4 linked regions of the Schizosaccharomyces pombe genome follow. Changing the gene in region 3 together with the main gene of any one other region gives a genetic interaction. Each region holds a gene or a part of one and is shown on either strand. Other genes may lie near its edges. The genes, in order: adg2, sst6, sap114 and hrd302.

Region 1 (8,235 bases), 2.9 Mb from region 3:
GGGGTGGGCGAGTATATTTAGCGGCTGGTGATTAGGAAGCGCAAACGAGTACGATTTTACTCAGTACGTAATACGTTCCCTAATAACAACAAAAAATGATTTAAATATTCAAGCTTTCAAAATATATTTTTTTTATAATAAAAAAATCATTTGATAAAATGTCGGACTGTTCTCTTCCAAAAAGTTGTACTTTTGAACTTTTTTTTATGATATGTAAATAAACAAACATTCGTAAAATTATATTTTTGCTCGCCCTTAAAATAACCCCATATTCTAATCTCATATCGTCTTATAACATTACAGAAAGCTTATGCATAACGATTGCGAACAACCTAATCTGGAAGAGCTTCCATTATTACATTGGTCTGTTCTTCAAATATAAAGGAATGGTAAAACGTTCAACGTTTTTATTTCAATTAACATATACAGCCAGTTCTTAAATGTAACAAACCCTATCAGGATAGTAAAAAAAACTAAATAAATAATCTGTAATATAAAATGATATGTAGACCGTATGAAACCTTTTAAGACAAATAGCGGTTAGCTATTTGGCGTAAAATATAAAAATAAACGGAAATCTCTTCTAAACTAAAGTAAAGACTAACGGTATAATTGGGTATGTATAAGATGAAAAAGAAAGACCTTTGAAAATATCGAATCAATCGATCATAAACGCAAATCAAAAAGCCTTTCAAGTGCAGCAGCTTTCGAACTATCGTTTAACAGATAAACACGAATGCTTTTTACGTTTGTTGTTTTTGAATAGCGGGTTATCGAAGAATTTATATTTTTGAAATAACCCTTGACAACAAACATGTGTATGCACGTAAAATGATTTATTTGGGAAATGAAAAGCAAGGGACATGAATGTTTTTTTATCGAAATTTTCGACAAATGAAAATAGATGCATGGTAAATAGGAAAATAAAATGAAATCAAACAAGCCGAATAATGTATGAGAAATAAAAATGTGAGCCGAAGTGCACTTCTCGAGTGAAACGCTGCTAACGGGTAAAGGAGCATCCCAGACGAAATATTAATACTAGAGAACCAGTCCCCGTCAAATTAAGTCTAGAATAAAAACAATAAAGGGATAAAAACACAAAGCAATGAGATGCGTTGCAAGCTAGTGCTGCTTCCTGCACTAGGCGGCAAACTCATAGAGCTACTCCTGCTTGAAGAGGAATGAGCAGAAGATGAATGGACAGAGGAAGAGCTTAAATGAGAAGTAGTCATAGAAAGAGTGCTACTAGGATAGGTCGAAGTGATACTCGCCGATGAGCTTCCACTCTCAGAGACAGTAGAAGTGGTGGAAACAGTAGAGATAGTCTCCTCGGGACGGGAACTACATGTGGTAGTAGTCATAGTAGTAGTAGTCTCTTCGGGAGACGTAGTGTAAGTAACCTGGGTGGTGGTAGTTGTTTCTTCATTAGATGAGCTACTAAGAGCCGAAGTACCAGAAAATGAGGATGTAGGAGAAGGAGAACTAGAGAAGGAGGAAACAGATCCACTGGTACTTACGGTAGTAGGAACAATAATACTGCTGTTAGAATAATAGGGTGAAGAACTAGTAGCGGTTGCTGAGCCAGTGCCAGTACCAGTAAATGTAACGGTGGTGTTTGAAGCAGTCAGAGTAGTAGTGTATGAGCTATTGCTAGACGTGAAAGAAGAAACACTTGATGGTGCACTGGTAGGGATAACACTACTGTTAGAATAGAATGGTGGGGAGCTGGTAAACGTTGCCGAACCAGTACCAGTACCAGTAAATGTAACGGTGGTGTTTGAAGCAGTCAGAGTAGTAGTGTATGAGCTATTGCTAGACGTGAAAGAAGAAACACTTGATGGTACACTGGTAGGGATAACACTACTGTTAGAATAGAATGGTGGGGAGCTGGTAAACGTTGCTGAACCAGTACCAGTACCAGTGTATGTGATAGAAGTGTTTGAAGCAGTCAGCGTAGTAGTGTATGAGCTATTGCTAGACGTGAAAGAAGAAACGCTTGATGGTACACTGGTAGGGATGACACTACTGTTAGAATAGAATGGTGGGGAGCTGGTAAACGTTGCCGAACCAGTACCAGTACCAGTGTATGTGACAGAAGTGTTTGAAGCAGTCAGCGTAGTAGTGTATGAGCTGCTGCTGGAGGTGAAAGAAGAAACACTTGATGGTACACTGGTAGGGATGACACTACTGTTGGAATAGAATGGTGATGAGGAAACAGTTGCCGAACCAGTGGTAGTGGTACTTCCAGTAGTAGTAAGGTTAGTACTATAGGAAGGAGTGAAGCTACTGAGACTAGAAGAAGAGACTGTAACGGGTGTGGAAGTCGATGTAATAATAGACGTTGGCAAAACAGATGATGAAGACAGGCTGGCAGACGATATAACACTGGAAGGTAAGAAACTAGATGTGTTATAATAAGGAGAGCCTGTAGTAGTAGTAAACGATGAAGAGCTGGGAATCATAGACGTGTTTGTAATGGTGCTAAACGAAGAAGTGCTCGACGCTGGCGGAGGTAAGGTTACAATGTCGGTCGATGTGCCTGTCGAGACACTAACGTCTGTAGAGTATGGAAAACTAGAAGTAGCAGATGAATAAATGGTAGAATTCGCTGTCACAGTTATAGCAGTGCTTGGAATAGAAGTGCTAGCAGAAGCATGACCACTGTTGGTTTGTGAACTAGTGAAGGTAGTCATGCTTTGAAAAGTACTACCAGTAGTAGAAGAGATACCTTCGCCGCCAACAATATAAAAAGTACCAGATTGGGCGTAAATAACAGAGTCGTCGCGAATAGACGTAAAACTAATTTGGTAGCCATAACCTGGCGAAAGATCTAAAGCAGGAAATGTGGCATTTTCATCAAAAGTATTGATGGTCATTATGTAACGGCTTGTTGGTGGATACTCAACTTCGTTTATTAACCAGACATTAGCCTGCAGGGGATCAGTGCTGACCACACTCCATTCCAAGGGTTCAATATGTCCACTAGTCCAAACGTCTGAAGAAGAAGGAACATTAATTTCCATGCCAGCACAAAGCTTGGCTAAGCTAATTAATAGCCCGCTGATGGTTAATCTTCTCATTTCTCAAATAAATCCCTAGTTCGGCAATTGGCAGTGCACAGGCCTTCAGCAAGACGAATACCCAACTAAAAGTAGATGGTTAAGGAAAGAAAGTAAGCGAGAAAGGCGACTTAATATAGCACTTGGGTTTCTGATATGACCTAAGTGTATTAATGCTCAAAAGTGGGGCAATGCTGGAAACTGTATCGATGTAAACAAAAACAATCGAAAAATTGTGGATTCCAGAGAGACATTTATATTTGCACCTAAATTAGATAACGCATTCTTGGGTCGCGTTACTATGGTAACATTGGTCGACTTTGTGTAAATAAACATCCAGCACTACTGCAAGAAAGTACAAAAATGACGTTAAATGTAATTAAGGCACCACGTTAATTCAATGAATCTGCAGGTTCTTGGTTAAAAACCAGCAGAATGGCTGGTAAAAAAGGTTGGTTTCTCTCAAATTCACCTAAAGGCTGGATATATTGCCTGTTTAAGAGGCTGGTGTAAATATAAAACTGTTCATTTGAACAATTAGTGCACAACAATGTTAGATATGTTGCAATGATATTACCAATAAACGTAAGATGGTAAGTACGCATACCGATATGTGAAGAGCCCACCAAATATAAGATGGTCCTCCGTGACTCAAGGTATAAGTGGCATATATGTCGGAACTGAATTTTGACTGTTTCAATGAAGCCTTCTTCCATCGTTGGCCAATGAGTTTTTGAATCAGAAATGTAACAACCGAGGGTGTGTTCTTGGAGGACTCTGTAAGAACATCATTTGTCGCGATCAGTTTGACAAAACCAATATTTCCTCCAAAGTACCCCATTGCGCTGGGTAATGTATGTTCGATGGCACCGTTCGGGTGTTCGTAGTCACAACCCATATGATCATGGCCAGAAAGGACCAATTTGATGCTAGGAATCAATTCAAAAATTTTCATAGTAGTATTATACGATAAATGATTTTGAGACTTGACCCGAAAATCCAATTGACGAACGATTCTCGGTTCGTCAACACACACATTAGCTGGTTTGTAGAGTGGCACATGGGTGAACAGTATGGTTGGAATAGACGGCTCTAAAGCAATGTCGAAAAGAAATTGCCAAGCATCCCTAGCTTCTTTTGAAAGAGCAAGTATACCTAATGATGAAAAACTTTTACTGTTAATAATATCGCTAGGGTTCGCATCGTAAAACTGAACATCATCAAGCGAAAGGCTATTTATGCCGATCACACGGACAGGAAATTTAGAAACATTGAAGTGCGAAACCCAATTTACCGGGCCCATAGCTTGTTCCCATTTGCTAATTTGTGCGTCTGAACTTTCGCAGCCATAGCCAATGTCATGATTACCCGCAATCGTCCAAACGGGAATGTTACCGTTTTCAAAAGTACGTGCTGGTAAACTGGAGTTTCCTACTTGCCAAAAGTTTTTTGCCCCAGTGATTTTTTTCAGTCTTTTAGCTCTTTTGTTGAATTCTTCGTTATCCAAGTGCTGAAAACTGACCAAGTCACCCAACAGAATCATCGCATCTGGTTGACCCCAAAACTGATTCATATGTACAAGGTGTCGTAAAAACAAATCATTCCCCCAAAGATCTAAAGTGCCTTTAAAAAATCCATTTGCTTCGATTTTATGATTCCCTTCAATCTGAGGATCAGCAACCCCCATAATAACAAAAGAATTTTCATCTTCGAGTTGCAGCTTTCTTGGCATTATGCCAAATAGTAGAGGATAGGCATAGTAGACAGCTAAAAAAACTAGGCAAAGATAATGTAAAATAGACAGTTGTTTGTTCAACCATAATAAATTCGGATGTCTTGCAAACATTATTGACTTAATTATGTCAACGTAAATTAAAAAAGGGAACGGAGAGAAGGAGCGATTTTTGGAGTGCCTATTTTTACTTAGGAGCAGACTAAACGAGTAATGTAGAGGCGTAAGATTTTGGTTTTTGCTTTACTTACTAGATTATATAAATGGTATACCACCATAAAAGTGTCAATAAAGCTTTTTAGAAAGATTTGCTTTCAAATAACAAGAAATGAGCAGAACAGAATAGAAAAACAAAAAGCACAAATGAAACAACAAAACTTATTTTTCTAATCCATGAAGCTAGTAAATGGGTAATTTATAGGTATAGCTGCAGTATTCGAACAAACCCACTGCTAAAATTTAGATTGCAAATCAATGGTCAAATGATTGATTCAAAATTCCTGAAAAAGAAGCTTGGTTCTTAGAAAAATGTGTATCGATGTTTGCCGTTGAAATTTTTTTCTGAATTGAATTAATACCAAGTGTATCAGTATAACTGGCTTAAACAAATTAAAAAATAAGCTTTCTACTGAATGTAATAGCAAAAAACGGCTAATAATCTTGACCGAAGTTTGTTTAATGATGAACAACGGATATGACTGAAATTGCTTGAAGTGTATATCAAACTAAAGAAGGAATACCTCAAAACATGGAGTTGTGGCTGACAGTTTTCACGAAGAAAGGAATGGAAAAGAGCGTCGAATTTCAAACATAAACGTTTCTTTTAGAGCTCGTCTTAGCTGCCAAAGTTAACCCGGTACACTACTTAGTATTAATAGGTGAATTATGACTGACGTTTTTTACATTAAACGGATGGTAACATGTTACTTGAAAACAGCAGTCCAAAATTTTCGCTGCATAGACGGTAACGGAAATTGAGTATTTATTTTTTTTTGTAGAAGTTTTTACATAGCAATTTACTAAAATGTCCGACGATAGAATCAATTACCTTAAGAATAAACTTGTTCAATATCCAGATTTTCCCAAAAAGGGAATCTTGTTTGAAGATGTAAGATTTTATAGAAGGAGGAAATGCGCGAGGTTGGATAGGAACGGTGATATTATTTTGCTCAATTAGCGTGAAGTTTGAATCCAAAATACAATTCGAGAGGTTATATTATCTTTACGCCTTGCAATTGCTTAAATACTCTGTTAAATTATAAACAATAAGATGCTAATGTTATTAGATAATGCCCATTTTTCAAGATCCCAGAGCCTTTGGCATCCTTATCGATCTTTTGCTTGAAGCCGTTGAAACTGAATTCAATAACATTGATGTGATTGTTGGTTTGGAGGCGCGTGGATTTCTTTTTGGACCTACGTTGGCTTTACGTGCAAATTGTGCATTTGTCCCTGTCCGTAAGCCCAACAAGCTTCCCGGTGATTTGGTCGTCGTAAGCTACAATAAGGAATATTCTACTGATTCTTTTGCAATCCAAAAGGGTACTATTAAACCCGGTCAAAGAGTCTTAATAGTTGACGACATTCTTGCTACTGGTGGCACCGCCTTGGCTGCTGATGAACTCGTTACTCGTTTGGGTGGTGAATTAGTTGGACATCTCTTCCTTTTAGAACTTACATTTCTTCAAGGACGTAAGCGTCTTATGGCTCCTACTTATACACTTCTTACTGGACAGGATGAAGCACCTGATGGTAGTGAATTTGCTTAAACTATGAACTCGAAGTATGTATAAGCATTTCTAATTTTTAACGTTATATTTGCTTTATTCCTTTTTTATAAATGTTTAGGGTTCTGGGTTTTTTTCTATGGTTTATTCGTCAAGCTAGGATTTTTTTAGTCTAAGTTGTAAATTGAATAAGTTATACATTTTTCAACTAGTATTCTAAAAAGTAGGATTTTTGTTAGCAAATATATATAAATCGGGTGGAAATCGATATCTTAAAATGAAAAAAAAGAAAAAAGGATGCAACATCATAAGGAGAAAAGCTTATAAGGGTCATAAAGGGTATAATTTTTAGAATGGTCAATACCACGCTTTTCTTTAATATAAATAGGTAGATACATTCAGCTTATTATAAGCCTATTGACGAATCCACGTTATAATATAGCCCTCGATTAAAAGTATAATTACAAGAGAAAGCTGAATTATCCAAATATACTTTTATTAAGTATTGAATGGATAAACATCTATAGGCTTTGAAATCACGCAGCACAAATATTTTTTAAATAGTAAAAAGCATATATGACCGCAAGTCTATACACATGCGTAAATAAAAAATCACAAAACAGCGTTATTCCTAGCTGTTTATGCATTTCAGACACAAATATAGGTTTGAAACTGGAGTTCCTTGGAAGTACGAAGGGGCGTCAAAGTCTGATTGACGCACAGAGACGTTGGCCCATTTAGAAACAAAATTGTTTTCATTTTTTAAGAGAATAGTCGGAGGGATGTATGGTTTAACCCAATTGAATAGACTGTTTTGAGAATGAATATTTTCTAACGGATTAATAAATTCACCATCCGTGATGAGAATTAACAATCCTGCCTTATTGGTATTTTTTGCTTGCTGCACCCATGAGCAGTTGCCAAGTGGAGCAATATATGCTGTATCTTTGTCGAGAGTATCGGAGGGTTTTTGACACATACTGTTATTTAACAAGACTGTCTTAAAAACCTTTGAAGGTAAAGAATTATCGTTGTCAAATTGAAGGAATTTTCCAAACGTTTTTTGACCACTGTTCGGATTTTCTAGCTGAGCAATAGTTCGATCAAAGTACAATGCATCAGGTCTTGTGAAGGTCTCATAATCCGGATCGGTTAGGAAGACCGTGTCATTCTCATTTATAGATTCAGCTCCAGCAGTGTATAAAAACAGAGAATTAGAACCTTCTTTTTGAACGAATTTAAGTTTATTACCGATAATGTCGGATATGTATACATTATTGGTTACACGTTCCACTGATTTTATAGGACTAACAAGTGCACTTCCATAAAGGAGTTCAAAACCATCGGAATACTCTGGCCTCTTGCAAACACCCGATGGATCAATTAGATACGAGGGTATTGCTTTGTTATCAATTCCTACTAAATGAGAGACATAATCGTAATCGTCTCTAGATGCTATCAACGAATATAACATTGGCCATTTAGATCTGTCGTAATCTTCTGCAACACAAACTTCTCCACCGTCGTAAATTCTTTGAGAGGTAGACAGTCGTGTTTGATTTGTCACGGGAAACAAATGACCTTCTGTCGTAAAAATAAAATCATGGTGACTTCTGTGAATGGGATTATCATCGTCAAATAATAGAAACAAATATTTAAGGGTTTCGCTCAAAAAGAAACTTTCCATTCGATTCGAAAGTGTATACTTTTCTAG
Region 2 (7,043 bases), 3.6 Mb from region 3:
ATTCAAAATGGCCCGAAGACACATTGCAACAATACTTGCCGAATTAAAAACAAAAACTGGGTGTTTTCGTTTTTCGGATGATGACAATAGACAAACCATCAAAATGGTAAGGACTCCTAAAGCAAGTTGGGCAGACAAAGTCATTCCAGTTAAAAGTCTATCTCTTTCATATGCATCAATTGTTGAAACTGGCACTTCAATCTCTCCTACAATAGAGACAATGGTAATATTTTGGTGAATAATTGCGGATGCATCGGGAATAGTAAAGTCTTTCCACCATGGTTGTCTCATAATGTCAGAGGGAGCAAGAACAATATAAACCCGAGATTTTTTTAGTTTAAGAAGTTTAAAAATGTGATTTGTAAAGCACTTGATGACTCAGTTTCCCAATGAACTGTTATGCCAATAATTCCTCTTTGTTTAGAATTTCCAGAAAACACTTCTATGTCTCAAAAGTTAAATTTTCGCTTGAAGATATACAGCAAATTTCCAAATATATGGACTCAAAACACACCAATGGAATGCTGTTCGAACAATTGCAAAATTGTAGTTTAAACAGATTCGAAACAAAAAACAAAAGGATTTACTATTGTTTAGACAGTTCTTAAAAATTATTTTTCATCTTTGTCAGAGATCTAGCTGAATTATATAACATTTTTTGTGGTACTCCATTGTTCAGATTTCCTATTGTTAACTTCATTGTCTAGTACCACACCTGAAACAATAGAAATGGAGGAGGTAATTATTAATCAAAGAGATAAGGAGAAATTAGGTGTAACTAACTTTATTGAAGTATGAAAAGTTTAGAGCGTTGGCGTCAAAAGAGGCTGAAAAACGAGGGTATTTATTTCAAGAAGCTCAGCATGCCTATTCAGCAGGAAACAAGGCTAAAGCGCATGAACTAAGCCAAGAAGGAAAGTTATGTGGAGAGCGTATGGAAAATTATAATCGACAAGGTAATCTCAAATTCTCATTAAAAGCTGTGATTGTTAGTTCAAACCCTATAAACTTTCAATAATAGAAAAACAAACCCATCATGAGATTTTTCTTTCTTTCTTTTCCACTCTTTTTGTTTGGTATCTAATTCCGGTAGTTATCGGTCAGACAATACGCCAAACAATAGTAGTTATGACAATGAACTATTCTTTGTACAAAGTGAAGAGCTCTGAAACAGCTGAATAAAGCCATGTGATTTAAGAGAAAAATGGGTTGGCTTCTTTATAGAACTTAAAACACTGGGTTTCTTCAAACCCATATTGGCTTCGAGAAAACAAAATAGAAGTGTTTTATGACTGTGCTAATTATTGATAGCGGCTTCAGCCATTTATTTATATAAAAACTCTCAATGCAATCCCGATGAAATTGATTTACATGGTCTGTACATCGATGAAGCTGTACAAGCAGTACAACAGCGAATTGAGAATTGCATCCGACGTGGTGACAATCATTTACATATGTATGTTTTACGCTTAATTAAAATTAACTCTTTTTTAGTATAGTTGGGCGCGGTAATCACAGTGCTAATCATGTGGAAAAACTACGACCTGCAATTGTGCGAATGCTTGAGCAGCAATCTATAAAATACAACAGTGAAGTAAATGAAGGCCGCATTTATGTTTATTTACCATCTGCGACTTCACCTATTCAACCAAATTTCAATTGCATTCAAGAACCTCAAGAAGCATATTCTCGTCCTCAACATTCAACTTTGACTGATCAAGTTGAGCCTGAAAAAATTGTTGAAGAAATTGCTACGAATTGTTTTCCTCGTCTAAAAACATGTTGTGCCATCATGTAACAGTTTGTTTTTTGCTTGTTAACACAGGCGACCATGGATACCAAATTGGGTCAACAAAATTTTAGGCGGTGAAATTATTAGCCAGGTGTCTGTGTATTAATCTTTTATTTCGATTCGGTCATTATTGTATTTATTGGGTAATTTAGGCTCTAGATTTTTTTGCTTGTTGCAACCTTAGGATTTTTTTTTTATTTCAAATAAATATTGAAACTTTTTTTAATAGATTATTTTATAGGAATATTTTTTTAATAGGTTTTCTCTGCTTTTTGTAAAAAATTCATTTTTATTATTATTTTAAAGATAATAAATCTAGCATTATATTGCCTACTAAAAGTTTTGTATAATTTAATTTATTTAAATTTTGTTTATTGTTGTTCATTAATTTTAACAACTGATTATATCAATTTCATTAAACGGTTACATAAATTTGAAAATTGTTTACACATAATAATAATAATAAATTTAGGTTCGATAAAATTTCGTAAACAATGACTAGTACATTCAACTGAATTATATATATATATATTTTTTTTTATTATTCTTTAAGCTGATAGAGAGGGTAGTACTAATCGTAAATAGTCAGTACCTCTACTGTACGTAAGCTCGCAATTCTTTGCTCGAATTATTTACCACAAAATTGCCTTGCCTTGACATATATTAAATACAGCTACAATTTTCAAGCTTATTTGCTGAAAATAATTGTCGAATGAATATATTTTAATTTGACAATATTTAAATTGCTTCCGCAATCATGGATGATGAAGTCTATAAACAAAGACTCACAGCTTTGAATAATTTGCGTATTGTCATTTTCTTCGATATTCTTATTATATTGTTAGGCTACATAGGAACTTGGAACTTAAAAACTTTACAATTAGTAAATCCTAGCTTATGGTCATTTTCTCCATCTCTATGGATATACATTAGGTATCTTATTTTATGTCGGAAGGAATTTCTTTCTTCCGGCGTATTTTTTAACTAATTGAGATTCATGAGAATCTTAACATGAAGAAGTTCTAACTATTTCAATCAGGGGAACAGTTCTTTGTGCAGATTGCATATTTACAGCGGGTTCGGCAAACGAATACTCTGCCGTTCAAAATTCTGTGTTCCAAGTTTCCAGCCTTATGTTTTATGGCTTGATGATGGAATTTTTTGGGTATTCTTTTGATGTATGTATTTATTTATTAAATTTTCTGGAGAATTCTTAATTAATGATTGTAGAGAGTTGGTTGCATGGAACTCGCTTTCATAAGCTTTTCCGCTGCTTGCTATTTTAATATAAGGTCAATTAAATCTCTATCTTTAAAAAATAAAAATTGGACAATAATCAGCATAATTGAAATTCCTATCAAACTGCACTTCATACTTAATGTTCTGCTGTTTCTTAAGTTTTCTGAATACATGCTTCCTTTACTTGGCAGAGTACATTTGTCCTATCATTTATTTGCATTATGGGTTATTAATTTGTATATTTGGATTAAGTTGATTGACTCCAAGGATTTTGTACTAGGATTTCTTGCAGGATTATCCGTACTTCTTTTAAATACGGGTTCATTAATTACAGCAAAACCACTTATTTCTTACTTCAATTTATTAACTTCCTGTTTAATTATTTTCCCTAGTATATGGATTTATGCAATTGTAAGCAAAAATTATGTTATCCAATCTAACCTTTCTAGGAAAAGAAAAATTTTAAAAACCTAAGTTATGAGGACGATGATTATCGAAATTACTGGTAATGGAGATATTTTTTACAAAAAAATAAATAAAAGAATAATATTTATCTTGTCCATATATTCCTAAAAATGTCGACACTGAAATTCACATCACTATAATCTTAAGAGTATTGAAGCATTTCGTCCCGTATTAAAAATTGTTGTCTAGCTAACAGCTTTATTCCCTTTAACCAAGATGCGGGCATGATTGATTCATGATGCAAGGCCTGATTCAGGGCTCGAATTCCTTCATCCAGTTTTTCGTCCTTACGTTTAAGTTCATAATATTTTAGTTCTCGTTCGGAGGGTATTATAAATAGTTCTTGAACAGATAAGTCTTTTAAATTGTCCAACTTCTGTAGGGCTTCTCTGGCTTTTCTCCTTCTTTTTCCTAAGATGAATCTATTGTTTTCAATATTTTTAGCAAGTGTTTCTAAAGCGTGTCTTTCTTGATCCAAAAGCCTTTGCTTAACCTCTAAGTTTTTAGATATTCGTATTTGTGAAATCCATTTTTCTTCAATAATTTTGTTCTGTTTATGTAGAATTTGCTGAATTTTCACAGGGTCAACATTGGGCTTAAAGTCTTCTGAATACAGTAGCTCAGACGAACCTTTTAAAGGGGTTTCAATATCTGTATCTATAAGGTTGAGCAAACTTTGGGACTCAATTTTTTTTCCTGTCGAGAACACTGAAACTTGTTGAACGATCTGACCTTTAGAAACTTTGGGTTTTTGCGGTAACAGAGCAGGCTTTGAATATTTGTCTTTAAGTGAAGGCGTGTCTTTGGTAATTATTATCTCATTTTGTTCAGGTTTTGGTGGAATAGGTTTTTGGGCAGGAATGTTAGAACTTGGTCGCCTCAATGAAACAGAATCGTGAACAAGCTGTTGTGATGTAGCTGAAAAAGGTGCTGTATTCAGAGAAAAAAGCGTACTTTGAAAAGAGGAAGAATTGGAATTTGTTTCTTGTCCTAAGGAACTATTAGCGGTAATTTTTAAAGGCTTAGGCGGTAGTTTGGAAGGTAACGCAGGCACCTTTCGGAAATGTTGTTCAGAGGAAGATGAGAATGGTTTAGCAGGGATAACAGGAGGAGCTTCATTTTCTTCTTTCACTTTGAGCTTTTCAATAGTATTAACGAGTTTTGTCGGCAGTTCAGGAGGAGAAGTATGTTCTCTTTCAAAGTCTTGCTTTATTAGAGCTTGAACTAAACGATAGATATTAAAAACAGACCGTTCATTTTTCCAAAGTTGTAGTAGAAGACTTGTGTACTTATGCTTTCCTCCTTTTTCATCCAATAATTGTACTATTGGCGGCTGTGATGGATAATAAGAGCGAACCGTTATACAAGCCGAGGTTAAAATTGTTTTGTCAAATGCTGGAGTACTCAAATAAATGCGGACCTCTTCTATTTTGTTTTCGTCTTGCGTATCTACTTCAATATTAATTGCTTGAAGTGTAAACGTGTCTTCACATTGTTTTCTAAACAATAATTCTAGTTCTTCAGCAAGTCCATTCTTCCAAAATCTAATCTATTTTTCAGGTTAAATTGGTAAAAAAACAAGCGGTACCTTTTCAATTGTATTCAAAATTCGTGAAGGGTGTTCATTGATTGCATGATCTGACATGGTAAAAAGAAACGAGGCGCACTTATGCAAGCACGTGATTAAATCTTATAGGATTTAAAGAAATCAAATAAAGTTAGCTGGTTTTCGAAAACCTATTAATTGCAAGCACCACTTGTGAAATTGATTTTGAACAGATGGTCGTTTTCTTTACGCATTTTATCGTTGTAATAAATAACGTCAATGCTGCATCTCTTTTTTAAATAAACTGTATAATATTACAATATATCGTTATATCAAGCGATAAAACAGGTAACGATACTCAAGATTATTTTCAATTGATGCCATATTAACATTAACGCCAAGTTTATTTTAAGTGCTACATACTCAATTTCTGAAATTGACGATCTGATAGTATATAATATTAGGATATGAATTTATAGACTGATAGGAGCAGTTATGAAAAATTCACAAAGTACCAATACGCTCAGATTTCTTATTCAATATTTTGGAAATGTGTCGTATCCATAAATATAAACTAAGGTAGCAACTATAATTGAGGATCATTGTTCTCACATACGTATTCCACTTCTCTTTTAACACCAGCAATACTACAATTGCAAGACTATTGAAAGGTTAATTACGGCAATAAACCGAGCAGTTTGCATTTTTATTGAAAGAATTATCTGATATTTGTTTATCAATAATGACAATTTGGAACGTAGCTGCATTGACAGGTAGGTTCTAGCACAAGTAATAGACTGGTATATAACCTTTATATACATTTACTTTTTGTTAAACAACCTATTTTACGTTATCTAACAATAAAAAAGGACTGCTCAGCGTAGGTTTAGGTGCATATGGATCTCACGGGTTGCAAAAACGTGTTCAGGATCCACATTTATTGAAGGTAGGATTTATGCATTTTTATTTCATGATTGTAACTATTTTAACATAAAATTATAGTCATGGTCCACTGCTTGTACTTACTTGATGTTCCATTCATTGGCAACCATGGCCGTTTCTTTGCATCCAGTTTACGGGAAATCTCGTTGGACGGGACCCCTGCTGATTACAGGAAGCTGCTTGTTTTCTGGGACAATTTATGGACTTTGTTTATTGCCTAAAGGACATAGTCTGCGACGAATTCTTGGGCCCTTGACACCAATTGGAGGACTAGTGATGCTTACAGGGTGGGCTACAATGCTAGTTTAAGAGAGCTTTAATTTAGATGCTTTTTGTTTTACCAGTACAGACGCAAGTATTAATGATGTCGTTTCTAAAATACTAGCAGATAAAGAATATGTTATGATTTTATTGGGTCCCAAGTAAGCGAACAAAAAAGAGAGAAAGGATATAAGGGGAATACAAGTATTTAAGATGAGTTAACGTGTTTACTTCAAAGTAATCAAATCCTTTTCCAACAAGTAATTGACGATTTTTTCAACACACTCTTCAATCGATTGAGTATGAGAAGAAACCACGATTTCAGGAGAAATGGGAGCCTCATAGGGAGCAGAAATTCCTGTAAATTCTAAAACCGGTTAGCCTTAATTTTATAGGGTCATCTATTTAAAAACATTGAGAAAATGGAATTTCCTGAGGGGAAAAAGTATCTTTAATGTGTAACAATTACCTACCTTTAATCTCACCAGCACGAGCACGCTTGTACAAACCCTTTGGATCACGCTGCTCGGCAACTTCCACTGGACATTCAACATAAACCTCAATAAAAGGAAGTCCATCTTTTTTATGAAATTCGCGTGCTTGATCACGATCCTTGCGATAAGGAGAAATGAAGGAAGTTACTGCAACTACACAGGCATCTGCGAAAAGCTTGGCAACATGACCTATGCGACGAATGTTTTCGTTACGATCTTGTTCACTAAATCCAAGATCACTGTTTAAGCCGAAACGAACATTATCACCATCCAAACGGTAAGTTGTAACTCCACGCTGAAGTAA
Region 3 (7,159 bases):
TAAAGTGCTTATCCATATTTTAGAATAATAAGAAAAAGGTAAAAAAAAGAGAATAAAGCCTTAAAATAAAATTAAATATAAGTTGGATAGTTAAATCAAATATTCCCGAAATTTATGATCTAAGAATATAAAATGACTTGTTTTAGGTGGTGGGGAAGTGCAAGTGTGAGTAAAGGATTAAAGAAATAAATCTATGTGTCTCTAAAATCTCAAAATATTAATATCAAAATTCCCTTCAATGCGAAAAAATTAACACTTTATACGCTACTATGCTTCAACTGGTTTAAATACAAAATAAATAAACCAAGAATATACTAGTAAACGTTTCGTTTCGTTACGTTATGTCTCGTTTTCGTTTCGCTATTTCGTAAAAGTTATGAGTGTAGCGGAAAAAGGGAGCTTGAAGACGATTTAATAATGCTGGCCTTGTCTCTCTATATATACTATATAACCACCAATTTGCATGACGAAGTGCCCCGCACGTAACGGAAGTGATATTATGCTGAAACAGTGAATAAACACATCTAGATAACCGTAGAACCGTTTTTCATACCCTTCAACTAATTACGAAATGTTGCCGATATGAACAATTAAATTAAATATCAGCTTGCCTTGCCGAAGATGACCTCAATCCATTTTCCTAGTCAAAGAAAAATTTCGCTGACCTTTTGTAGATCATATGCTAGAAAAGTAGTAAAATCGCAGCGTAAACTTGAGTCACCTTTATGTAGCAAAAGATTGCCTTAAAAGGGCAAACTCTACCAATGCCCAAAGAAGCAATGGGACAGGACGATGGCTATTTATTGAAATTGTTAAATCGTTACGAACTGCCATAAGAACCTTAATTAAAAGAAGGTTGTCGAAAAGTGCTCCGGTCTGCACATGTGGAACCAGTCATCTTAGTTAGTGCAGCCCCGGTATTCCACGGTGAAAAGCAAGTTTGCAGTGTAGAAGACAAATGGACCATTTGTTCATCAGTATATACAGTTAGTTAAAAGGATACGAAAGGCTGGATCATTTAGTGAACGAAGTCGCAAGTGAAATACTTGTTCATTATTATGTTCTGGTAAAAAAACCAACTTTTATTACTACAGCAGGAAAACAAACAAAAGTAACATATTGTTGGCAGAAAACACACAACCGAAAAAAACCTGTCTACTAGGAAATGGATCATTTTGATACTTCTGATCCGTTAGATACATTGCAGAACAAAAGATCGACCGAAAGGTTATCAATGACAAAATCTCTCTGGACCCTTTTGTTCTCATCTCTATTCTGTCCAAACCATCATCATCTAGTTCAATTCTTCTTGGACTCTGGTTTGGATGGAATAGTCAAACATTTAATGCCGTACTCTTCCGTAATCATGGCAATGACATGTGCAACAAAGTTGCCGTAAACACCAATGCAAATTCCAACGTAGCAAAAAAAGTATTCCGTCTGAACGTTTTTTAATACGCCAAAAGTATAGGCGTCCACGGCATCCACCAAGAATGGAAGAATAAGCACATTCCAGTATGGGAAGGGAGATTCGGTAATGTGAGAAACAATTACCACTCCAACCGAATAAGCAAAGATAAAAGCGTTCAAGCAAAAAATAGTGAGGAAATGATGTTCAAAGAAAGCAGGATACTTGGCATAGAGTGAAAAGACAGCCATCCATTGGAGGAAATAGGGAAGGATACCACTCAATGCTTTAATCACACTTCCGTTGTTCTTTTGGACGGCTTGAAGAGCATTTCGTAAACTTTGTAAGACATTCAATAGCAGGGCAAATGCCATAAAGTTGTACAAGCATGATCCATATGTGTAGTATGGCAGAAAGGAACGTACAAATCCCCATGACTCGGGAGTGGGATGTAGCTTGAGCCAGAAAGAATCACCCTTAATAGCTGTAAGGGCAAATAGTCCAATAACCATTACAATTCCTTCGACAGGACCCGAGAAGTATGAAAGGTACAAAGTACCCGTATGGTATTCTTCCCAAGTAGAGATGTAAAAGTATAATAAGCTGGCAAATTGAGTAAGGATTGAGCTAAACATATCTAGTTGCAGCAGTTCAATCGTCAGTAAAACTTCAAAGCTCGTATTGATGGCGTCTACTCCATGGTCAAATAATTGACCTAATGGAGATGATGTGCCAGTACGACGCGCTTGCGAGCCATCAATAGCGTCAAAACTTTGGTAAAGAAAAAGGCCAATCGCCCAAGAAGCATACACCCATGATGGGAAAGCATCCATCTCATAATGATACTTGTACACAAGCATAGTAAGGATATTGATAACAACGAATCCAAGCCCGATCAAAGTAATCAAATTAGGTCTAAGTAAAGAGTTAGTAAGAATAAGCAAGCAAACGGGTGTAGATCATACGCCATAGACATGGGAATCACCTTCAAAAGTTGATTCCACCAGTACGGCTTCAAAATATATTTTGAAAGAAGTGAGTTATCAATCGCACTATATTTATAGTTATGAAGATTCTTTAACTGCTTCCGGTTTAACTGCATCTTGAGAAACTACCTGGATATCCTTTCCTTATTCTCCGATAAAGTACTGGTAGAGGGTAAACATGTTACGCGTCTTAGTGTGTAGAAATAAAGGCAAAGCAACGAATGCAGATAAACCTTCTACCGATAAATAAATGTATAATGTAGCTTGCAAAAAAACTTGCACTATAACTATCTTTTAAATTCTAAATTGTAAGGATAATTGTTGCTATCAACCGTTTTGATGTTATTTGTCCATCCGCAGTGGATTACGGATGCCCTAGGCAACAACTGTTTAGAGCAGCAAGGTCGCCCTAAACTTTTATAAACTTCTATTGAATTTCAATAGTCCTTTCTTTTCGCTTGTCCATCGCTTCATCTGCCTTGTGCGACAAGTGTCCTTCCACCACTACCTTTTTCTGCATAAGTCTCACATATGAGTTCTTTAATGGAATTCCAAGACAGAAATACGACAAATAATGAAACAGAACACCAAAAAAGCATCACTGATCAAAGTTCATCGGTCCCTGCAGGGGTAATTTTACCTCCTCCAGCAATTCGAGGTGAGTCATAGTAATTAGTACAATAGACGCGCCTGCTAACGTAGCTTAGAAATAATTGATAAATCTGCTAGTTACGTTGCCAGAAATGGCCCAGCTTTTGAAGAAAAAATTCGCCAGAATGAACAGGCAAATACTAAGTTTGCTTTCTTGCATGCTAATGACCCCTACCACCCATATTATCAGCACAAATTAACTGAAGCGAGGGAGGGAAAATTGAAGAGTCATGCCACAGGCTTGTCAACCCAAAAAACATCCACTTTGGCTCGTCCCATTCAAAAACCTATAGAGGCAACTATTCCTGCTCCCTCACCGTACTTGTTTTCAGAACCACTTCCTTCTATTTCATCACTAGATTTGTAAGTATCATCTCAACTATTATTTCCTTCTTCTTTGAAGTTGCTAATTAACCGTGAATCTAGAGACGTGCTCCGTTTAACTGCGCGATATGCGGCAGTTCGTGGTTCTTCTTTCTTAGTGAGTCTTTCTCAAAAAGAGTGGAATAACACTCAATTTGATTTTTTAAAGCCAAATAATGCATTGTACCCTTACTTTATGCGTATAGTTCAACAATATACTTCTCTAATTAGAGAGCCCATTTCTTCGCCAGAACAGGAGCTTCGTGAAAATGTGAGAGACCCTTATAGCTTACTTTCTAAAATTCAGCCGCGTGTAAGGTGGCAATCGCATATGGAGAGCCAAAAGAAAAAACAAAAGGAAGAAGCCGAAAAAGAGAAGTGTAAGTGTATATTGAGATGCAAAAACTGGTTCAGGAAGTCCAATATTCTTCATTTACCATTTGAATTGGAACTAACTTGTCTTAGTGGAATATGCACAAATTGATTGGAACGATTTTGTCGTTGTTGAAGTGATTCAATTCACAAAGTCCGATGAACATGCAAAATTAGCTAAACCTACGAATTTAGCGGATTTACAAACTGCTACTTTAGAACAAAAGTCTGCCATGTTTACCATGCCTGACCAAAATTACACTATTGAGGAAGCTCCTCCTACAGCGGAGCCTTGGGAGCCCATAAGTGCGCCTAAAAAACAAGAATTTGGTGTTTCTCTTCCTCCATCACTTGCTTCTCCAGAAAAAGGAGGTATTTCTTCAACTACTTCAGTTTCTCCTGCCGCACAAGCTTCTCCCGTTTTGTCTACCACTACTCAGCCGAAGGTACAAAAGCCAGTACCAAAGGGTAAGTTTATATTCCTTATTGTAACTTTACTGACCCTGTTTAGCTTTCCAGCCCAAAGTTCCGATGGAGATATCGCCTTTCTCAGGTGAATTGGTTCCCGCTACAGAACTAGAAGAGCATATGCGTCTAAAATTACTTGACCCTCGCTGGCAGGAACAGCGCAAAGTTGAAGAATCTAGGAAATCAACTTTAAATTTAGAGAACGTGAACGTTGCTGCAAATATGAAAAGATTGGTTAGTCAACGGACTGATTTGTTTGACGTCCAAAACGGGGTAGAAATCTCTCAAGAGGAAATCGAACGAAGAAAACGTGCTGCTACTCAGAGCGCTTGGGGAGCAACTCCCACAAATAAACGCCGGTAGATTTCATAGAACTTTTTTTAATTTTGTTAATTTTTACTTTATTTTATTTAAGCTTCGTAGGACGCCGAAATCTATTAGTTAATTTGCTTCTACAACTCGTGAAATAAATAAGATGTAAATAAACCAGGTGTTGTAGACTTTCTCCAACTAATTGAGAATACAAATATTCTTTATTATAAAAAGTCCAATACACTAAACAAAGCTGGATTTTAACTTAGGAAATGCGGGTCTGGTTTTCATACCCGCCCACCGTCATCCTTAAGTTGTCATACCACGTAACCGCACAAACCTCTTAATTTTTTACTTCTTACATTGTTGATTCTTCATTTATCGGCTTTAATAAATGCTACATACTATCAATTATAGATCTTGGCATTTGGCTGCCAGGCAGTTAGGGCGTTCAACGTTTCGAAAGTTTACGACCGAATCGTCTACTAAAAGCCCTATTGCAGATGTTTGTTTCGCATTTGAGTAATACAGTAATTAATGATCGATTTTTGAAACTAACCAAAGCAGTATTGATGGAGTTTTAATTAGAGGAGGAAGAGGTTTGAAAGAAGGAACGAAGACGTAAGCTTAACTATGAACTACCATTTTCAAACTAACTTGTAAGTTTGAAATTTTTGCAAAAAAATAATATACCTTTTATTCTGTTAACGAATGGAGGTGGTATGCATGAGAGTGTTAGAGCTCAGCGTCTTTCCAAGACATTGAGCGTAAGTTTAACAGAGGATGATTTTTGTCAATCACATACCCCCTTTCGCGCTCTTGCGGATAAGTATAAGCACGTCTTGGTTCTTGGAGGAAAAGACAACAGCGTCCGTGAAACTGCTGAAAAGTATGGGTTTAAAAGTGTTATCAATGAACTCGATGTCATCGCAAAGTTAGGAACTCCATTTTGGCCTTTCACATCTTTTAACGAAGAAGATATTAAAGATGCAAAAGACTTTGACGTTACTAGACCCATTGAAGCAGTTTTCACTTATGTCGATCCTGTCCGACTTGGTTTGGATCTTCAATTGGTGATGGAATTGGGCCAGTCGAAGAATGGTGTTTTAGGAACAGTTTCGAAGACAGCAAATGAAGGTCCCGATATTTACTTTTCTAAGTAAGTTATTTCTTGGAAAGTATCTTTTGTGTAAAAATATTTTTGCAAGCTGTACTCGAATACTATGAGTGAATGCTAACAGCTTTTATAGTGCGGATTTAATTTGGCCTAATGAGTATCCTCTTCCCCGCTTAGGTCAAGGAGCTTTTGCAATTTGCTGTGAAAGTGTTTTTAAAGAACTTACTGGAAAGGACTTAAGAAATACGAAATATGGAAAACCTCATAAGCTGACTTATGATTATGCTAAAAACATTTTAATGAAGAAGCATAAAACTTTAGGAATCACCAATCCTCCCAAGGAAATTTTCATGGTTGGTGATAACCCCGAAAGTGATATTCGTGGTGCGAATAATTACGGTTGGACTAGTATTTTAGTACGTACTGGTATCTTCCAAGGAGACAATAGCCCTAAATATTCTGCGAAGCACGTTTCTGATAATGTATGGGAAGGTGTGCGCTGGGCTCTATCCAAACACGTTCCTGCTGCCAAATTGAACAAGTCAATGGGCGAGGTTCGTGGATTTCACACCTCTTCTCGTGTTTTAAACACTGTGACAAAAAGTAATAACAGTAAGCCTATTCAAAGGCCTTTGCGTGAGAATATTTTTACCTTGCCAAACTTGCTGACATTCTCAAGGCTCCTTTCAGCTCCATTAATTGCTTATCTTTACATTTATGATTATACTAAAGCTGCTGCTTGCTTTTTTTTATATGCTGGATTTACGGATTTGGTTGATGGGTATATAGCTCGAAAGTTTGATTTAGGCAGCATTGCTGGGACAGTACTTGATCCGTTAGCCGATAAAACGTTAATGACTTGTTTGACAATATGTTTAGCGGTGCGTGAGACTATGCCATGTATGCTTTTTGTGTTTATTAGTAATATCTAACCTTATCTAGTAACTCTTGCTAGCTTGATTATTGGAAGGGATGTGTTGCTCGTCTCGGCTGTCTCATATCTTCGTTATAAATCGTTGCCAGCACCTAAAACTTTTAGACGATTTTTCGATTTTGCGATACCAACTACTGAATTAAAACCTACCAGAATAAGCAAGGTATGTCGTAATGGTTTATTATCTACTGACTTGTGTAAACAATTAGTGGAATACAGCTTTACAACTGCTGTTACTCGGACTTTTGATTACAGAGCCCATACTTCCTTTTGATGCCTCTTTTGCCAAAAGCCCTTTATTGTAAGTCTAGTCTCCCTGAACTTTAAGAAAGTAAATATCTTTACGTTGACCTTTTAGCCCCAATCTAAAGACATGTTTTCTTCCCATCTCTTCCTCTTGACTGGCGTTTCAAGTGCATTATTTTTACTAACTGTATTAGTTACATTGTTGGATGTACTACAATTGCTAGTGGTGCTTCCTATTGCATTTCACGGAATACGTTTCGAAATATAGGCAAATCAAAGCTACAATGATTAAAAAAGTAAAA
Region 4 (7,778 bases), 3.8 Mb from region 3:
TTCTCGAAAGCTTCTACTTGAGATGTGTCATTGAGAGTAAAATCTACGTTCATCCTTCTGCTTTCAACAAAAGAAAAAGTGCTTTCAAGTTTGTTCAAGAATGTTAAAACATGCTTCCCCGGTGCGGATTCATTTACCAGTCCACGAAGTTGTGCGATTATGGGAGCAGAGAGCTCTGGAAAGGCAATTGAATTGGAAAATATGGCAAAATATTCAGTCATTAGCAAAATGACTTCTTTTCTGACATTGTTACGATAAGATTTTGACAACAAACATTCTTTAGGCACATGAAGAGTAGAATACATGTCAAAGTTATACATTACTTCCTTATCATCAGACAAAGGACTCGATCTCCTAAGAACAAATGGGATCATTTCTAAAAACTGAGAAGACAGGGGGATGTAAAGGCGGGTAGATCTGCAAATATTAACAAGTGACTTTAAAAGATGGAGACGTAATGGGTAATATTGCTCCGTAGGAATTAAACGAATGCAATCCAGCGTCAGGTTTATGGCGATTGGAGAAATTTCTTTGGAGATTGATTCATAATCATTCCATAAAAATGATATAACATGTAACCAAAATCTCAGCGAAAGCGTAAATTGCCAATTGTATATTAATTTGTATGCATCACTGCTTTCAGACTCCTTCAAGCAGCGCTTCAAATGAGCATCCAATTGGGAGAGATAAGCGAAGGCAATTTTTTGATAAAACCGTGAGTTAAGAGAAAGAAGTTCAATCAAGAACAGTTGAAGCTCTTCAAGGGTATCGAAATCGTTAACTTCACTGGGAGAAGACTTAAAAAAGTCCAACAAAGGCGAGTAAAATACTTGAAAAACTGCCACACTCAACGACGAATCAATTTTGCAAATATGATTAACTGCTTTTTGAATATCTTCCCGAGCTTTAGAATGATTAACAAAAATATTACATAGCTGTGTAACCAGACCATTGGGAAATTTAGAAAATTTTTTTATGTGAAGTATAGTATCAAGGGCCGAAGACAAATTTTGATATCCCTTTTTCTCAAAATTAAATTTTGTTAATAAAATCTCGGCATACTCTAAACGAAGGTCCTGAAGAATCTTTGACCTAGCGTCAAAATCCACGTTGTCCAAAGTCTCCTTTAAGTCCTTTTCAACATTTTTCCACAACGCATCTGCTTGATTGGTCCCCGATAATTTCTGACAATATGCAATAGCAGCAAGTAAATCCTTTTCACTCCGTCTTTTTTGAGTAGAAACTTGATTTAAAGAAGCGCCCTTGGAGTTTACATTAAGAACCGAAATATCTTCTGATCCGTCTTTCTCATGCGATGTATTAGAGGTCGTTACATCTGAATATAGTTTAGAAAGATCTTCTTTGTTTTTATTGTTATCATTTGTTCCACTTTCCAGTTTATTTTTTGTATGTGAATTTCGATTTTTTGTGCCGTAAACTTTTTTTGAACGAGCTAACTGCTTTCTCCGCTCGATAGTATTTTTTAGGTGGTTTTTAGTAAACTTTTTTGTAGCCTTGGAAGCTTTACCCATTTCCCCGAGAAAACAAAAACACCAGTTCAATTGCAGATGAACGTAGTAGTAAATTCACTTCGCTGTAAATGTGTGAGAAATTCAGGTTGAGTAACACGGGTAACAGTGCAAGGATTTCTCAAAAATTAGCAGCTTTTATGGTATTTGAAAAGTGAATTGGAATATTTTGACTGTAGGATTAAAAATATGTGCTCCTTCAAGCAGCTGATCATGCATATAACGATAGCTATATTGGCACTTGTGAAGCATATTCATGCGATTTAGATAAAAAATACTTACCGTAAACGAAGTAGTTTCAGTAATTTAATATAAAGTTGGTGAATATTGATCCAAAAAATGGCAACTTTTAAAGGGAAGTAAGAGTTTTGGTTAGAAGATAGCTCATCCAGCAATCGTCTAGCAATATAAATATCTTGATCTCGTCCTATTCCGTATTCGTGCATATATGCCATGTTCCAAAGGCCCATACCGATTGAGCTTTGCTCATAAGCAATTTTGTAACATGTATATGCTTTAGAGTAGTCTTTAGGGGTGCCAATTCCATAGTAGTAATAATCACCCAGTTTAAAAATGGCATCAATATCACCCTGAGCGGCAGCACGAGAGTAAAACTCATACGCAAATTTATCATGAGCAGCCTCCTGCTCAGATTGGGTATAGTTAAAGTAGCGGAATACTGAGTTAATTAGAAACTTATTCTCATCCATCAAATATGCTGCATTAATTTCAGCTAGGGCATATCCCATTTGAGCGGCATATAAGTAATAGACGAAAGAATTATGAAAATATCCATATTCGTCTATTTCTTCTAAAGCTATAGCCATCGAGGTTGCAGAAGCTCGTATTGCTTCCACAAACTTTTTATAGTATAAAGAGGCACTTATCATTGATCGACTAGTTCCAGTTCCATTATAATAACAATCAGCTAAATATTTGTAAGAGATGACACTTTTTTGAGTAGCAGCTCTTAAAAAGAGGTGATACGCCTCTTCATAACGCGCTTCTTCAAGACGAATGAGGCCAAGAAACATAAGTGCATGGGGATTTTCATTCATTACAGCTAAATTTATTAGTCTCATTCCTTTTTCTCGATCAACGCCGTTGGAAGTTAAACCGTGATAAGCCATGTAACCTAAACCGTAATAAGAATTGGAATCGTTTTTCGTTGCACCTCTTTTAAACCACCAGTATGCTTTGTCTATATCGAATAAAGGACCTTTATCAAATAGATGTAAAAGTCCTAAATATCCACAAGATTGAGCGGCCAAGGAAATTATGCTCTGTGGAGTGTTAGCTAACACACTATTTTCTGAAGTGTATGGCCAGTATTGTCTTGAAACCTTGCGAAATAATACATCGGAAACAGTGTAATTCCTTGGATACTTATACATCCCGTGCAGACGTAATTTGGCAACTTCAAACATTAACTCATAATCCCAATCTTCAATTGAATTTGACATTTCACGAAGGTACTGACTCCTAGTATGTAGGGCCTGATAGGCATCAGAATAGGTATAAGCAGAAGCAGCACCGTACACACCCATACCGTTTTCACCGGCAAAATTATAATCCTGAATTTCAGGCCATATACACTTTAAATAGGTTACATTGGAACCACATTCTTCTTCAAATAAGTGGTCAGAAATAAATTTGTAATGCTTCACAGCTTCCTCATCCGATTGAGGCATATTTAAAGCGATTAAATTATGGTACGCCAGAAATTGATGAGCGTCTAAAGAGCCTTGCTTTGCTGCTAACTCCCAATGTATCCTAGCTAATGCTGGGTTGTTAGAGGCATACTCACTAAAACTAGTGGAGTAAAAAAATCCCATCATATTATTAGCAAATGCACTACCATTCGCTTTTTGTAGCATATCATAATACTTGACGGAATCTTCAATTTCGGGAATAATTTCAAAAAGACCAAAAAATTCAATGTTTGCGAGATAAAGCATGGCATCCGTGTTATTATCATGAGATGCGGATCTTAGCAACTCAATTGCATGGTTTCTTTGAATAATAATCTCTTCATACGTTACGTCTTCCTGCTCATAATAATATCTAAGAATTTCCAAAGCCCGCTGAACTCTCACAGATGGAGTTTCTGCGAAATCGTAGTCGCTCAATACCATGGATCCTATGTTGTTGTCTACATATTGTTGTGCATTCACGATACGCAATAAGGTAGACAAAGAAAGCAAAAAAAATGCTATGCTTAAGATTCTTTTCAAAAATAAACTAACGTGAAACGTCAGAACCGAAACCCCCATAATTTAATAATGATATGTACAAGTTAACAATGACAGTTGTAACTGAAAACAGGGCAAATTTACCCGCTTGAGACGAATTTTACAGCAACAAAAGTGTAACGTTTTTATTGATAAATTTACCGGAGCTTTTCTTTCAATGACTTCCAACAACAAACGCGTCTAAACTAACAGTGGAACAATGCAAGTGTAAGTTATCACAAAAGCGAGAAAGGCAAAGCATTCACAAAATATGAAATGCTCAAAATGGGAAAATAAAAGCTTTTGTTATTGTTAGCCCGCACCTTCAAAACAACTATAACAATGTAGGATTGAATGGCGGAATAAATCAGGCAACCATACCAACTTGGAGTAAATCTTCTTGATCTTAAATAACAAAACTTAATTGGTTTTTTTTAAAAAGATTATGAAAAGAGCGAAGACTGCCAATTTATGGATATGTTATGTTGATGTCAGGTTATAAGTTTGACGTGGAACAGACGATGTGAAACCAACGCAGTAATCGTTACTTACCAAGAACCAAACACATAAAAAATGAGTTCTAATTCCAATACAGATCATTCTACTGGTGATAATCGTAGTAAATCTGAAAAACAAACGGACCTAAGGAATGCATTGCGGGAAACCGAAAGTCATGGCATGCCTCCCCTTCGTGGGCCTGCTGGTTTTCCTGTAAAGTATGCTCTCAAAATTTTTTAATATTAATTCTAATACAATATAGTCCTAGACCATTCTCTCATGGGGGCAATGCGAATTTGGATAGATTGAATTTAAAAGAACCCGTTGATTTGGAGGGTCCAAAAGACGAACAATAAAACCCATATGGACTTTACGGACTGAGTAATTGGCCTTATTCGTTTGTAATGAATTGAATCAATTGATGACTTCTATATATGCGCTTCATAAAGCAAAACTTCTATAGTAAATTTACCCTTTTGTAAATGATCCTTATCGGACTTATTTAAAGTGCGATTATTCAAATAAATTATTTAATTCTCTTTGTTAAATGCAGCTCTATACTCTAACATCTTCCTTCAGTAAATATGGTCATAATTATATAGATGTATCAATCATCAAACTGTGTTTAAGTTGAGAAGAGCTTTCGAAATATCATGAAAATATCCTCATAAACTTAAAAATAATACACGTATGATAATTTAATAATAAATAATTGAATAACTGTTTTTTTCAGCAGCAATAGGATCTGGTCTGTCTTTCCAAACGGACCAGGTCGTCCCAATTCGTAATTGAAGTCCACCAATTCGAAGTACTGGAAGGGTGAACCGGTCTACGGAAACTTAAATCACCATATTGTATACCTAAGGATTGATCTTGGGGATCAATTTCACCCAACTCAATCCTAGTTATTATGGTGGAGACAACGGAAAGAAAACACTCTTCAACGTTGCTTCCTGTATAAGAACTAGTTTCATGCGCACTAGATATATGCTTTTCTGAGCAAAACTCAGCTGCCTCTTCAGTAGAGACTTGTCGTTGGTTTTGTAAATCAGATTTGCTACCAGCCAATACAACACATATTGTTGATGGAGCCATAGCTCGAATATCAGACAGCCAAGACGACAATTCTTCAAACGAGTCCTTGTTTGTCACATCATAGACTAAAACAGCACCTGCTGCTCCACGATAGTAATTCCTAGCCACGCTTCGAAACTTTTCCTGACCAGCAGTATCCCATATTTGTAACTTGATTCTTTTTTGCTGGTTTCCCATTCCAACACTTATAATCCGACTTGCGAAATCGATTCCAACAGTATGTGATACTTGATCATCCCCTAATTTCCATTAAAAACTTGAACATTGTTAAATTTGCATGTACTTACATTGATTCTTAACAAATCTCTGTAACAAGCAGGATTTGCCAGTTCCCGAAGGACCTGCAAGTACAATCTTTACCAAATAGTCATATGATTCTTTGTCCATAATAATAAATAGAATTTTTGGCTTTCAATTGTTCTCTTCTTGACATTTCAAGCTCGTAGGCTCCGATATTGGTATGATGCTCTGGATCACGTAGCACTAACAAATGTAGACAACACCAAAAATATTATTTATTAACTTCTGATTAAAATGTTAAGAGGAAAATGAATTTCTAAAGGACGTAATATGCAACTTCACTTGATTGGCAATGAAACTATAACTCTAAGTTCTTGCATCTACATATCTACACCTAAAAATTCAGTTCTGTACTGTAACAAAACTAACCATCCAACATCAGCTTACAGAATGATTATATGAACATAGAGAAAAAAATAAAAAAATAAATGCAAATTGACTATCCTATGTCCAAGCCTCTATTGAACTGTCACAAAGCACACAAGCATATAATCAAAGTCAAAATGTCAGAAGAATCATGAAGAAAAGCCAAAATTTGCGCGTTATTTGGAATCTATGGGTACGAAATGAAAAAGTGAATAATTAAATGATCGGTCGGTGTGCTTGAGCAATGATGTAAAACTAATTGAAATTCTGCAACAATCCAGGCTTCTCGGCCTAATCTCAAGTATAAACCTCACATTCTTTCAAGCGTGGCTAACCGATTAAAGATTCTTTTGTTTTGACAACGCTAAACACTTAGTTAGTTTTGTTCCTAAGTTGTTCGCAGATTAATCATTATGATGAAACTTACGATTATAGCAAAGTAGCTTTTCGATTAAGTCGACATGAGTAAGAATCATACGACGACAACAATAACGTTGAAGGCCAAGTTTATCCAATGCCTCACCCTCTGTGTTATCCTCTTGAAGGAGTGTGAGATAGGTGTCCCACTTGTCACCAATAACCTGCTGTATTAGCAAGCAAATAATTAAAAAAATAATAGATAGAAATTCTTTGAACAAATAGAAATAAGCGTTCGTAATATACAAACATATGTATAATCGCCCCAAAAGTGGATCAGTCCTCGTTGGAATCAGTAGCGAAAATGGGGCTATTTTTAAACTAAATCTAATACCAAAAAAACTATAATCTAATGCTTCAACTTAGGCTAATCTTAAACTATATACAATACACGAAGCAATTGTGAAATTTTTCTACCGATCCATAAAAAATGTGAATCGCGTTCAACCACCTCCTATAAATAGCAATTTGTTTCCTTACCTTTCCACAAGAAAAGCAGCGAATAGGAATGATCATTTTTCTAACTTTGAACACCCGTCGCCTTCTTGACTTTGTTAGTGTTGTTGGCAAAGGGAAGGTAACCGTGCGTATTGGAAGGAGGTGTGTTCGCCAGGAAAAGTTTTATGCTACAACCAAGTATTTGGCTTTAACCAACCACCATTGCGTTTTAATTCCAACCGGTTTTATTATTTTTCGTTGGAGGAATAAAAATTATGGAAGGGCCTAATTCTATGGAAGTTGGTTCATTGGAGGTCAAAAAAAATGATAAAGACCCTTGGTCTAAAACTGCATATTTAGGGGGTCGTTTGGTTTCAAAGATCCCTGCAGTTTACTCTAATGATAACAAGTATGTTTTTTTTTATTAAAGGTTGGGTAGCCTTGAACAGACTGCTTTTGCTCAATTTTCTTAATTGAAATATATAACACGAAATGATCTGTAAGAATTTCATTCCTGTCTGTACTTGCCGCTGCTTTTCTAGTATTTTTCAGTTTTTAAGTTATTTTTACTAATTTTTAGATTTGTATTTCTTACTTATGATACTTTTATTGGAATTTTCTCTTTGATTACAGGAGATTGTATCAATCGAATTTTCTTTCCCAATAATTTGGCCAATTTATTACCCGTAGCTGTATTATTGTCTCCTGAGAATGCATTTGAGCTATATGTGATTTTTCAAAGCGGATACGTCTGTGTTCATGACTGGTCGAATTCTGAACTTTTGCGCACCATGGAGATTTCCACTCGTGTCCATGCAGCTTCTTTTTCCGGAAAGCTATTGTTTGCTGTAACCGATACTCCTGCTTCAGACTCTGCTTCTTCACAAGATCGATTTACTCTTTA

The links.
Region 1: mutations in sap114 (region 3) and adg2 together harm fitness more than expected from each alone (negative genetic interaction), as found in Schizosaccharomyces pombe (one large-scale study listed by BioGRID).
Region 2: mutations in sap114 (region 3) and sst6 together harm fitness more than expected from each alone (negative genetic interaction), as found in Schizosaccharomyces pombe (one large-scale study listed by BioGRID).
Region 4: mutations in sap114 (region 3) and hrd302 together harm fitness less than expected from each alone (positive genetic interaction), as found in Schizosaccharomyces pombe (one large-scale study listed by BioGRID).

Annotation. Positions count from the first base shown.
Region 1 is NC_003424.3:4,077,868-4,086,102, forward strand, and holds adg2 (protein adg2), read right to left. Parts: upstream 3,290-8,235; 5' UTR 3,084-3,289; coding exon 1,071-3,083; 3' UTR 522-1,070; downstream 1-521. Other genes in the region: ted1 (phosphoprotein phosphatase), read right to left, coding at 3,616-4,908; apt1 (adenine phosphoribosyltransferase), read left to right, coding at 5,819-5,902, 6,081-6,563; alpha mannosidase Mnl1, read right to left, coding at 7,153-8,235.
Region 2 is NC_003424.3:4,773,936-4,780,978, reverse strand, and holds sst6 (ESCRT I complex subunit Vps23), read right to left. Parts: upstream 5,291-7,043; 5' UTR 5,142-5,290; coding exon 5,085-5,141; exon of another isoform or gene 5,046-5,084; coding exon 3,639-5,045; 3' UTR 3,541-3,638; downstream 1-3,540. Other genes in the region: pheromone p-factor receptor Mam2, read right to left, coding at 1-291; SPOM_SPAC11H11.03C (uncharacterized protein), read left to right, coding at 730-738, 794-956, 1,312-1,456, 1,495-1,798; protein mug162, read left to right, coding at 2,550-2,725, 2,832-2,970, 3,023-3,442, 3,481-3,540; SPOM_SPAC1782.12C (uncharacterized protein), read left to right, coding at 5,785-5,815, 5,912-5,988, 6,045-6,293; met14 (adenylyl-sulfate kinase), read right to left, coding at 6,473-6,612, 6,719-7,043. UniProt on the Schizosaccharomyces pombe protein: Component of the ESCRT-I complex, a regulator of vesicular trafficking process. Binds to ubiquitinated cargo proteins and is required for the sorting of endocytic ubiquitinated cargos into multivesicular bodies (MVBs).
Region 3 is NC_003424.3:1,169,922-1,177,080, reverse strand, and holds sap114 (U2 snRNP-associated protein Sap114), read left to right. Parts: upstream 1-2,632; 5' UTR 2,633-2,925; coding exon 2,926-3,052; intron 3,053-3,101; coding exon 3,102-3,408; intron 3,409-3,471; coding exon 3,472-3,788; intron 3,789-3,873; coding exon 3,874-4,248; intron 4,249-4,291; coding exon 4,292-4,611; 3' UTR 4,612-4,730; downstream 4,731-7,159. Other genes in the region: dihydroxyacetone kinase Dak1, read right to left, coding at 1-16; ept1 (CDP-alcohol phosphatidyltransferase class-I family protein), read right to left, coding at 1,300-2,323, 2,374-2,510; cardiolipin synthase/ hydrolase fusion protein Crd1, read left to right, coding at 4,955-5,082, 5,125-5,181, 5,225-5,719, 5,811-6,577, 6,620-6,774, 6,821-6,912, 7,052-7,145. UniProt on the Schizosaccharomyces pombe protein: Involved in pre-mRNA splicing. May be involved in endoplasmic reticulum-associated protein degradation (ERAD) and required for growth at low and high temperatures.
Region 4 is NC_003424.3:4,944,283-4,952,060, forward strand, and holds hrd302 (protein Hrd302), read right to left. Parts: upstream 4,251-7,778; 5' UTR 3,803-4,250; coding exon 1,808-3,802; downstream 1-1,807. Other genes in the region: noc202 (Noc2-Noc3 complex subunit), read right to left, coding at 1-1,532; SPOM_SPAC1B3.20 (uncharacterized protein), read left to right, coding at 4,334-4,476, 4,521-4,614; GTPase Ypt4, read right to left, coding at 4,988-5,592, 5,641-5,740; DNA-directed RNA polymerase subunit Rpb10, read right to left, coding at 6,358-6,383, 6,447-6,600, 6,917-6,952; U3 snoRNP-associated protein Nan1, read left to right, coding at 7,150-7,283, 7,455-7,778.